2 linked regions of the Ovis aries genome follow. The protein of the gene in region 1 purifies or fractionates together with the protein of each later gene. This does not show direct contact. Links are inferred from orthologs where the notes say so. Each region holds a gene or a part of one and is shown in the gene's direction. Other genes may lie near its edges. The genes, in order: SNX33 and DNM2.

Region 1 (4,393 bases):
CAAATGAATGAGACAAAGACAATGAATGAACAGAGGACAAGAGTTGTTAGGTCGCTCAGGCGTGTCCAGCTCTTTGGTACACCATGAACTGCAGAATGCCAGGCTTCCCTGTCCTTCACTATCTCCTGGAGTTTGCTCAGACTCATGTTCATTGAGTCGGTGATGTCATCAAACCGTCTCATTCTCCTCCTGCCCTCAGTCTTTCCCAGCATCAGGGTCTCTTTCAATGTGCCAGCTATTCTTATAAGACAAGAGGGTAGATTGTAAACTCTCCAAGGCAGGCACCCCCACTACCTTCTGGTACCCTGATCCCCAGTGCCCAGCACAATGTCTGGCAGAATCAATGACCAGGGTCAAGAACCCTTTACCTCTTCCCAGAGCCCCAGCCCGACCATTCCTCTCGTCCCCGTGGTGTTAGCAAAGATGAGACACCGGTCTCCGCCAGCCGCCGCTCAAAGCACGGCGGAACCTGGTCGTGCCTACTCTTGTTACCCGTCACTGCAGATGTAGTCTTGTCTTTCTCCCCGGAGGGAGTCGCCCAGGACAGGGGTTCTCCTGGCCCTGTCCGTCTAGGGTACTAGGACCCGCCGCGGCCTGTATCCCAGCCAGCTCAAGCTTTTTCCATGAGGGCACCGCTGGCTCTGGGGCCCCCTCCAGAAAACAATCCCCAGGCGGCGCCACGGCGGCGTCCGGCCGGAGCGGTGGCGGGGCGGAGAAGCGAGAGCGGGGGTCTGCGGGTTTCCGCGCACCCTTCCTCCACCTCCCGGGTCCCGGCTCTGGCGTTCTCCTTGTAGCCCCGCACGTGGCAAACTTTCAGAGTTTTCCTCACTTGCGTCACGGAAAAGGCAAGAGGGTGACGGAGCCCGGGAGGCGAGGCGGCGGCTGGAGAGCTCCCCCGCGCGGCGCTTGAGCCCCTCGGGGCGTGAGGAGTCTCCCTGAGAGCGCGGACAGGCTGCGGGGGCGCGGCTGCCCTAGGGTCTGGCCCCGGAGGCTGCCTCTTCCGCGACCGATCGTCTTGCTCTCGCATCCCGATCTCCCCGCGAGTGAGTAAAGGCGCCCGCCACAAGAGAAAAGAGAGGAGTAGGCGGGAGCCAGGCTGCTGCGTCCCAGGCCAGCGGGAGGGCGGAGCCGGGCCGTCCCCGGCCAGCCAGGACGCAAGGAAGTGCCGCGGAGTTTGCCCAATTCCCCAGCCTGCTTTTCCTTCTCCCTCCCTCTCCCCACCCCTCAACCCCTCCTCCCCGTCCCCCCGCCGGCTATTCCCTCCTTCCTCGGGACGCCACCTCCCGGAATCGCCTTTTTTTTCTGTTGTTTTGGATCTGGCTTCTCGCTGGCGGCGCCGAGGAGCCGCGAACGCTAGAGAAGAACGCGGGCTCGGGGCTCAGGCCGCCGCCCACCGGCGGGATCCCGCAGGGCAGGACGGCCGGACAGACGGCCGGACAGACGGCCGGCCGCACCATCAGCTCTCCAAGCTCACTCTCCAAACTCCTGTTGAGTGTGTGCGTGCACGCGAGAGGGGGAGGAGGGGGTCTACGTCCAGCGCTCCGGGGCCGGTTACCAAGGGGATTACCTTTGGACGAGGGTCCTTGGACTCAGATCAGGGTCATCTTCAGGCTCAGAAACTGCTGAGGAATTAGGCAAACAAAAGAGGCCACTCAGCTAGTGGCCAGGAGTCGCCCGAGCGCCTCGTCGCGTCCCCTCCTTTCCCCCGGGTTGGGGCTGGCCGCTTGGGGGCGGGGAGAGGGCATCCGAGCCGGCTGAGGGCTGGGGGCCGGGCCGGGCCGCCGGGTCGCAGAGTTGGCCGGCCTGTTGTGTAAGCCTCAGTCCTTGTTTTCCCGGCCTGGCTTGTTGTGAAGCCGGACACATCCACCCCTGGATTCGATTCAGGAGGCTGCCGCTTTTCTCCTTGCCCCTCTTGGATTTTCTGGATTTTTGAAAACCCAGTGGCCCAGGAAGAGGAGGAGGAAGGAGGAAGGAGATCTGCAGAGGAATGTGAGAGCCTCCCGAGGCCCAGGCTGGAGGAGCCAGAAGCAGCTGGGAGCCAGAGCTACCGGAGTTTCTGGGACGGTGGTTTCCAAGTGATTCTTTTCTATTTTAGAACATTGTTCCAGCGGAGAGTGTCGAATTCTTGCCTGCTCAGGGCTGGTTTTCTCCCAGTCACTTGACTTTTCTTCTAGGAGTGGGAGGAGGAGAGACTCTCTCCTGCAGGGGCTGCGGAAGGAAGGGAGGAAGACCAGGGACATGAGCCCTCTCGACTCACAGGCATGTGCGGGCAGACCTGGTAGGGCCGATTCTGGGCCATGGACATTGCTTTGAAGAGAGAAGGCTGGATACCTTCTGTGGGTGCTCAGACCCCGCAGTAAGGGCTGAGAGACCGAGGGCTGTGGCCAGCCTTGAGTTGCTCGTGCATCCTCGGACACCATAACAAGTGTCCTCAGTTCTGGGCAGGACTCTCCTCAGCATTCTCTACCACTGGCCCAGACATGGCACTCAAAGGGCGAGCCCTCTATGACTTCCGCAGCGAGAACAAGGAGGAGATCAGCATCTGGCAGGACGAGGACTTGGTCATCTTCAGTGAGACCTCGCTGGATGGCTGGCTGCAGGGCCAGAACAGCCGTGGGGAGACCGGGCTCTTCCCTGCCTCTTACGTGGAGATCCTCCGTTCTGACACCGGCTCCAACCATGCCGACTACTCCAGCAGCCCCGCAGGCTCTCTGGGCACCCAGGTTAGCTTGTATGACAGCTCCAACACTTCCAGGAGTGGTGGCGGCAGTGGCTTTCTGTCAAACCAGGGTAGTTTCGAGGAGGACGATGACGATGACTGGGATGACTGGGATGATGGATGTACGGTGGTGGAGGAGCCACGGGCCGGTGGGCTGGGCACCAACGGGCATCCTCCGCTCAACCTCTCCTACCCTGGTGCCTACCCCAGCCAACACATGGCCTTCCGGCCCAAGCCACCCCTGGAGCGGCAGGACAGCCTGGCATCTGCCAAGCGAGGCAGCGTGGTGGGGCGCAACCTCAACCGCTTCTCGTGCTTCGTGCGCTCTGGCGTGGAGGCCTTCATCCTGGGTGACGTGCCCATGATGGCCAAGATCGCTGAGACATACTCCATTGAGATGGGCCCTCACGGCCCCCAGTGGAAGGCCAACCCCCATCCATTTTCGTGCTCCGTGGAGGACCCCACCAAACAGACCAAATTCAAGGGCATCAAAAGCTACATCTCCTACAAGCTCACACCCACCCACGCCAGCTCACCTGTCTACCGGCGCTACAAACACTTCGACTGGCTCTACAACCGCCTGCTGCACAAATTCACTGTCATCTCGGTGCCCCATCTCCCGGAGAAGCAGGCCACAGGTCGCTTTGAGGAGGACTTTATCGAGAAGCGGAAGCGGCGGCTCATCCTCTGGATGGACCACATGACCAGCCACCCTGTGCTGTCCCAGTACGAGGGTTTCCAGCATTTCCTCAGCTGCCTGGATGACAAGCAGTGGAAGATGGGCAAGCGCCGGGCCGAGAAGGACGAGATGGTGGGTGCCAGCTTCCTGCTCACCTTCCAGATCCCCACAGAGCACCAGGACCTGCAGGATGTGGAGGACCGCGTAGACACCTTCAAAGCCTTCAGCAAGAAGATGGACGACAGTGTCCTGCAGCTCAGCACGGTGGCCTCGGAGCTGGTGCGCAAGCATGTGGGGGGCTTCCGCAAGGAATTCCAGAAGCTGGGCAATGCCTTCCAGGCCATCAGCCATGCCTTCCAGATGGACCCCCCCTTCAGCTCTGAGGCCCTCAACAGCGCCATCTCTCACACGGGCCGAACCTATGAAATGGTTGGTGAAATGTTCGCCGAGCAGCCCAAGAATGACCTCTTCCGGATGCTCGACACACTGTCTCTCTACCAAGGCTTGCTCTCCAACTTCCCTGACATCATCCACCTGCAGAAAGGTAAGAGCCAGTGTGGTCTGGAGACCCTGATGGCGTCTGCGCTCTGCAGAGCACAGGGGCTATGAGGATGCCCAGATGGAGCAGAGCGGCGCAGCTAGTCTTTCAGTCGCTGTCTCATCTGCTCATTCAGCAAGGGTGTTGAGCACCTAGCAGACGACAGGCACTATTCTAGGTACAGGGATATTTATGGGCAGGTCTGGTCCCTGTCCTCATGGAATTCACTGTTTACCTTCTTGTCTGTTCATTCATTCAGTCACTCATTCATTCATTCATTTATTTTCTCTGTTTTTGTCTCATTTACTCGTCTACCCATTATACATTGAGTCCTCCAAGTTATTAGGCTGGGTTCTGGGAACACGGAGCTGACCAGGGCCCAGGCCTTGCCCTTGAGGAGCCCACAGGCTTGTGGGGGACATGGGCACAGACCCAGATAATGAGAGCACAGAGCATA
Region 2 (3,805 bases), on another chromosome or scaffold:
GGGGTGCACAGGCTTCAGTAGTTGTATGACGTGGGCTTAGCTGCTCCATGGCCTTTGGGGTCTTCCTGGACCAGGGGGTCGAGCCCGAGTCACCTGCATTGGCAGGCGGATTCTTGACCGCTGCACCGCCACGGAAGCCCTAGCTTTTTCTTCTGATGTGTGTGCATTCTTTTTTCATTTGTATGGTGAACAACTGCTCATTTGGGGAACAAAAAGAAGTGTCCAGGAGAAGAAAACTGAAATCACCCATCACTCAGCTTCTCCCCATAGTTACTACTCTGGCTCTCCTTCCTAAGAGTTCCCAAGGATTTGTAATTTTTCTTTTTTTAGACTTTTTTTTCTGGACAGGGACCATTTTTTAAGGCTTTACTGAATTTGTTACAATATTTCTTCTTCCTCTTCTTTTTTTTTCTGTTCTGGAATTTTGGTCGGGAGGCATGTGGAATTTTAGCTCCCTGACCAGGGATCAAACCTACACCCCCTGTGTTGGAAGGCAGAATCTTAACCACTGGACGGTGGGGAAGTCCCTGTACCTTTTAATGTTCAGTACTTGTTGTCAAGCATTTTCTCACGTGGAGAGAAAAATGTGAGGCGTTCCCCTAGACCAGCCTTGTTGCTCATCACACACAGCTAATCGTCACTATCCCAAATATCCTCTCCTGTTGTTCTTCCCTTCCTGGGGGATTATGAAGCAAATCCAGGCACCCTGTCATTTGACACATAAACACCTACATTTCTGTTCCAACGACTCCCCCTCCAGCCACTTGATCTGTGCACCTCATCGGGATCTGGCCAATTATAGTTCTTGCAAACCAGTAATTAGATCTAGACAGAGGCTGATCAGTCTCGTGTTTAGTGGAGTTTCAGATTTTTTTTTAAAATTTTATTTATTTATTCTGTTTTACTTATTTTGGGCTATTCTGGGTCTTCCTTGCTGCACAGGCTTTTCTCTAGTTGAGGCAAGCGGGCCTACTCTCCAGCTGGGGTGCTCGGCCTTGTCATTGCTTCTCAGTAGCTTCTCTTGTTACAGAGCACAGGCTGTAGGCGCGCAGGCTTCGGTAGTCATGGCCTAGTGGCCCCGAGGCATGTAGAATCCTCCCCGACCGGGGATCGAACCTGTGTCCCCTGCTTTGCAAGGTGGATTTTTAACCACTAGACCACCAGGGAAGTCCCTGGATCCTTCTTTTTTAGGTTAACAAAAGGAACCACAGAACAAGCCAGACACCATCTCTGCCCCTTGCTCTTTGCCCTTCACAGTAATCTGGGTTTGCACCTTGCCGCTACTGGTCCTCCATGTGACCATGTGGGCAAGGGACCCCTCCTTGGCCTGCCTCGCTTCCCTCATCTGTAAGGTGGACTTGATGATAGCTCCAAAGAGGACGAGAAACCGTCAGGTCTGCACAAGACTTGGCAGGATAGTTGGCTGAGGATAGCTTGGAGGATAGCTGTGCCCCTCCTCTCCAAAGAAACATCAGTCCTCACTAAGAGAAGGGGGTACAGATATGTGTGTATCACTTCTGACCTTTCACCACCTAGGCCCAGTTCACCTTTCCAATTTTCATTATATGGACAACAATACACACATCTGCTGACTGAGCGCCTCCCAGGTGTTGGCCACCAGGCTCAGTTTCCTGCTTCCCACAACACCCATTCGTGCACCTGTGCAGTGGGGTAGCTTGGGTCCACACTTGGGGTTCCTGGCTGCTTGAATCCCCCTTCCGTCGTCCTCTTCCAACTCCTTTATGTCCAGATATTGTAGATCCTTTTTTCAAAGTAGTTTTCTTATGCTAATGGTTTTTTGTGTTAAAAAAAATTGCCGAATGGTACCTTAAACTGTCGTTTCGGAAGCTGGCTCCCAACCCCTCCTGTATAAGCCCCGCTTCTCTTACAATTAACTGTTGCTTATGTTCTCTTCAGACAGTTTTAAGACAAATACAGTAATTTTGAAAAAACACCCATTCAAGTACTTGCAGTGTTATGTGGAAATCTGTGAATCCCCAGCGAGTTCATTTTGGTGGCCACCAGACGTCGTTTCTTTGCCAACCATTGTTGTTCAGTCACTAAGTTGTGTCCGGCTCTCTGTGACCCCATGGACTGTAGCATACCAGGCTCCCCTGTTCTCCACTGTTTCCCAGAGCTTGCTCAGATCACGTCCATCGAGTCGGTGATGCCATCCAGCCATCTCATCCTCTGTCACCCCGTTCTCCTGCCCTCAGTCTTTCCCAGCATCAGGGTCTTTTCCAGTGAGTCGGCTCCTCACATCAGGTGGCCAGAGTATTGGAGCTTGAGCTTCAGCTTCAGCATTAGTCCTTCAAATGGATATTCAGAGTTGATTTCCTTTAGGATGGACTGTTTGATCTCCTTGTGGATCTTAGTTCCCTGACCAGGAGTCGAACCTGTGCCCTCTACATCGGAAGCTCAGGGTCTTAACTGCTGGACTGTCAGGAAGGTCCCCAGATGTAATAGCTTTAGAACAGGTATTAATATCTGGCACGATTAGTTTTTCCCATTGGCCTTCTTTTTCACATACTGTTTTCTGTCTTTAAAGCTCAGATTGTGGATTTCATCTCCTCCCGAGCTGTTCTTTCTCCAGTCCCTCTCACCAGGCTGAATGTAATCTCTCCTTCCTCCGAACACTTACGTTGCCCTGTGTTTGGATTCTCAGTGTTGCCTCTGAGTAACTCATGAGGCTTGTCACCTCCTCTGGGAGTGCCTTGGAGGGCAGGATCCATGTCTACACCTGCATGTTGCCCAGCCCCATGGCTGGCCTGTAGTGGGCGTCTGGGTTCCTAGGCTTGCCTGGCACTGCCGTGACCTGACCCTCTCTCTCCACAGGCTACATTGGAGTGGTCAACCGCAGCCAGAAGGATATTGAGGGCAAGAAGGACATCCGCACAGCACTGGCGGCTGAGAGGAAGTTTTTCCTTTCCCACCCAGCCTACCGGCACATAGCTGACCGCATGGGCACCCCGCACCTGCAGAAGACTCTGAATCAGGTACGGTGAGGACTTGGTGCAGTTGCTCAGGCTGTGCACTGCAAAACAGCTGCATTCCACAGCGGTGCTGCCGCTAGGCTAGAGCAGCACTCATTCTAGCAAAGTTGAGCTCAGTGAACGTTTGCATCAGTGCCTGGAGAAGAGTCAGTGCTGGTATTATTACTTCCATCACTACTATTGTTACCATTATTTTTTAAGTTTTTTATTGAAGTATAGTTGATTTACAATGTGTTGATTTCTTCTGTACAGCAAAGCAACTCAGTTACACATACATATATTCGTTTTTTTTCTTAGTAGCTTATTGACTGATTTGCGGCCGCACTGGGTCCCTGTCGCTGTGTGGACTTTGTCTTGCGGTGCTGAGCAGAGGTCTGCTGTCTGGTTGCAGTGCACGGGCTTCTCATTGCAGTGGGCGCTCTTGTTGCGGACCACGGGCTCTAGGGCACTGAGCCCGTAGTTGTGGCTCACAGGCTCGGTGGTTCTGCGACATGTGGTATCTTCCCAGACTGGGCATTGAACCTCTGTCTCCTGCATTGGCAGGTGGATTCAAAAGGATACAGTGAAGCGCCATGTGCCTCCTGCCTCTCACCCACCGCTGTAAACACTGCCTGAGTTTCTCTGTCCATGAATGCAGAAAGGACTTCTGAGAAGCACATTTCCCCCTTTATCCATAGTCATGGATGCCCCCCATTTTTCTTTTTTTAAACTCAACAGTATCTCCTGGAGCTCTGTCCCTATAGAAGCCTTCTTCACTCTTTTTCATGGCCCTGTAGAAGCCCCTGGACACACGGGCCCTCATCGGTTTCAGT

The links.
Region 2: the proteins of SNX33 (region 1) and DNM2 purify together in Homo sapiens (co-immunoprecipitation; 3 studies listed by BioGRID and IntAct, with this or other methods). This does not show direct contact. The link is inferred for Ovis aries from reciprocal best matches to the Homo sapiens genes SNX33 and DNM2.

What each region holds. Positions count from the first base shown.
Region 1 is NC_056071.1:30,895,203-30,899,595, reverse strand, and holds the start of SNX33 (sorting nexin-33), read left to right. Parts: upstream 1-1,307; 5' UTR 1,308-2,480; coding exon 2,481-3,942; intron 3,943-4,393. UniProt on the Homo sapiens protein: Plays a role in the reorganization of the cytoskeleton, endocytosis and cellular vesicle trafficking via its interactions with membranes, WASL, DNM1 and DNM2. Acts both during interphase and at the end of mitotic cell divisions.
Region 2 is NC_056058.1:13,095,275-13,099,079, forward strand, and holds part of DNM2 (dynamin-2), read left to right. Parts: intron 1-2,835; coding exon 2,836-2,996; intron 2,997-3,805. UniProt on the Homo sapiens protein: Catalyzes the hydrolysis of GTP and utilizes this energy to mediate vesicle scission at plasma membrane during endocytosis and filament remodeling at many actin structures during organization of the actin cytoskeleton.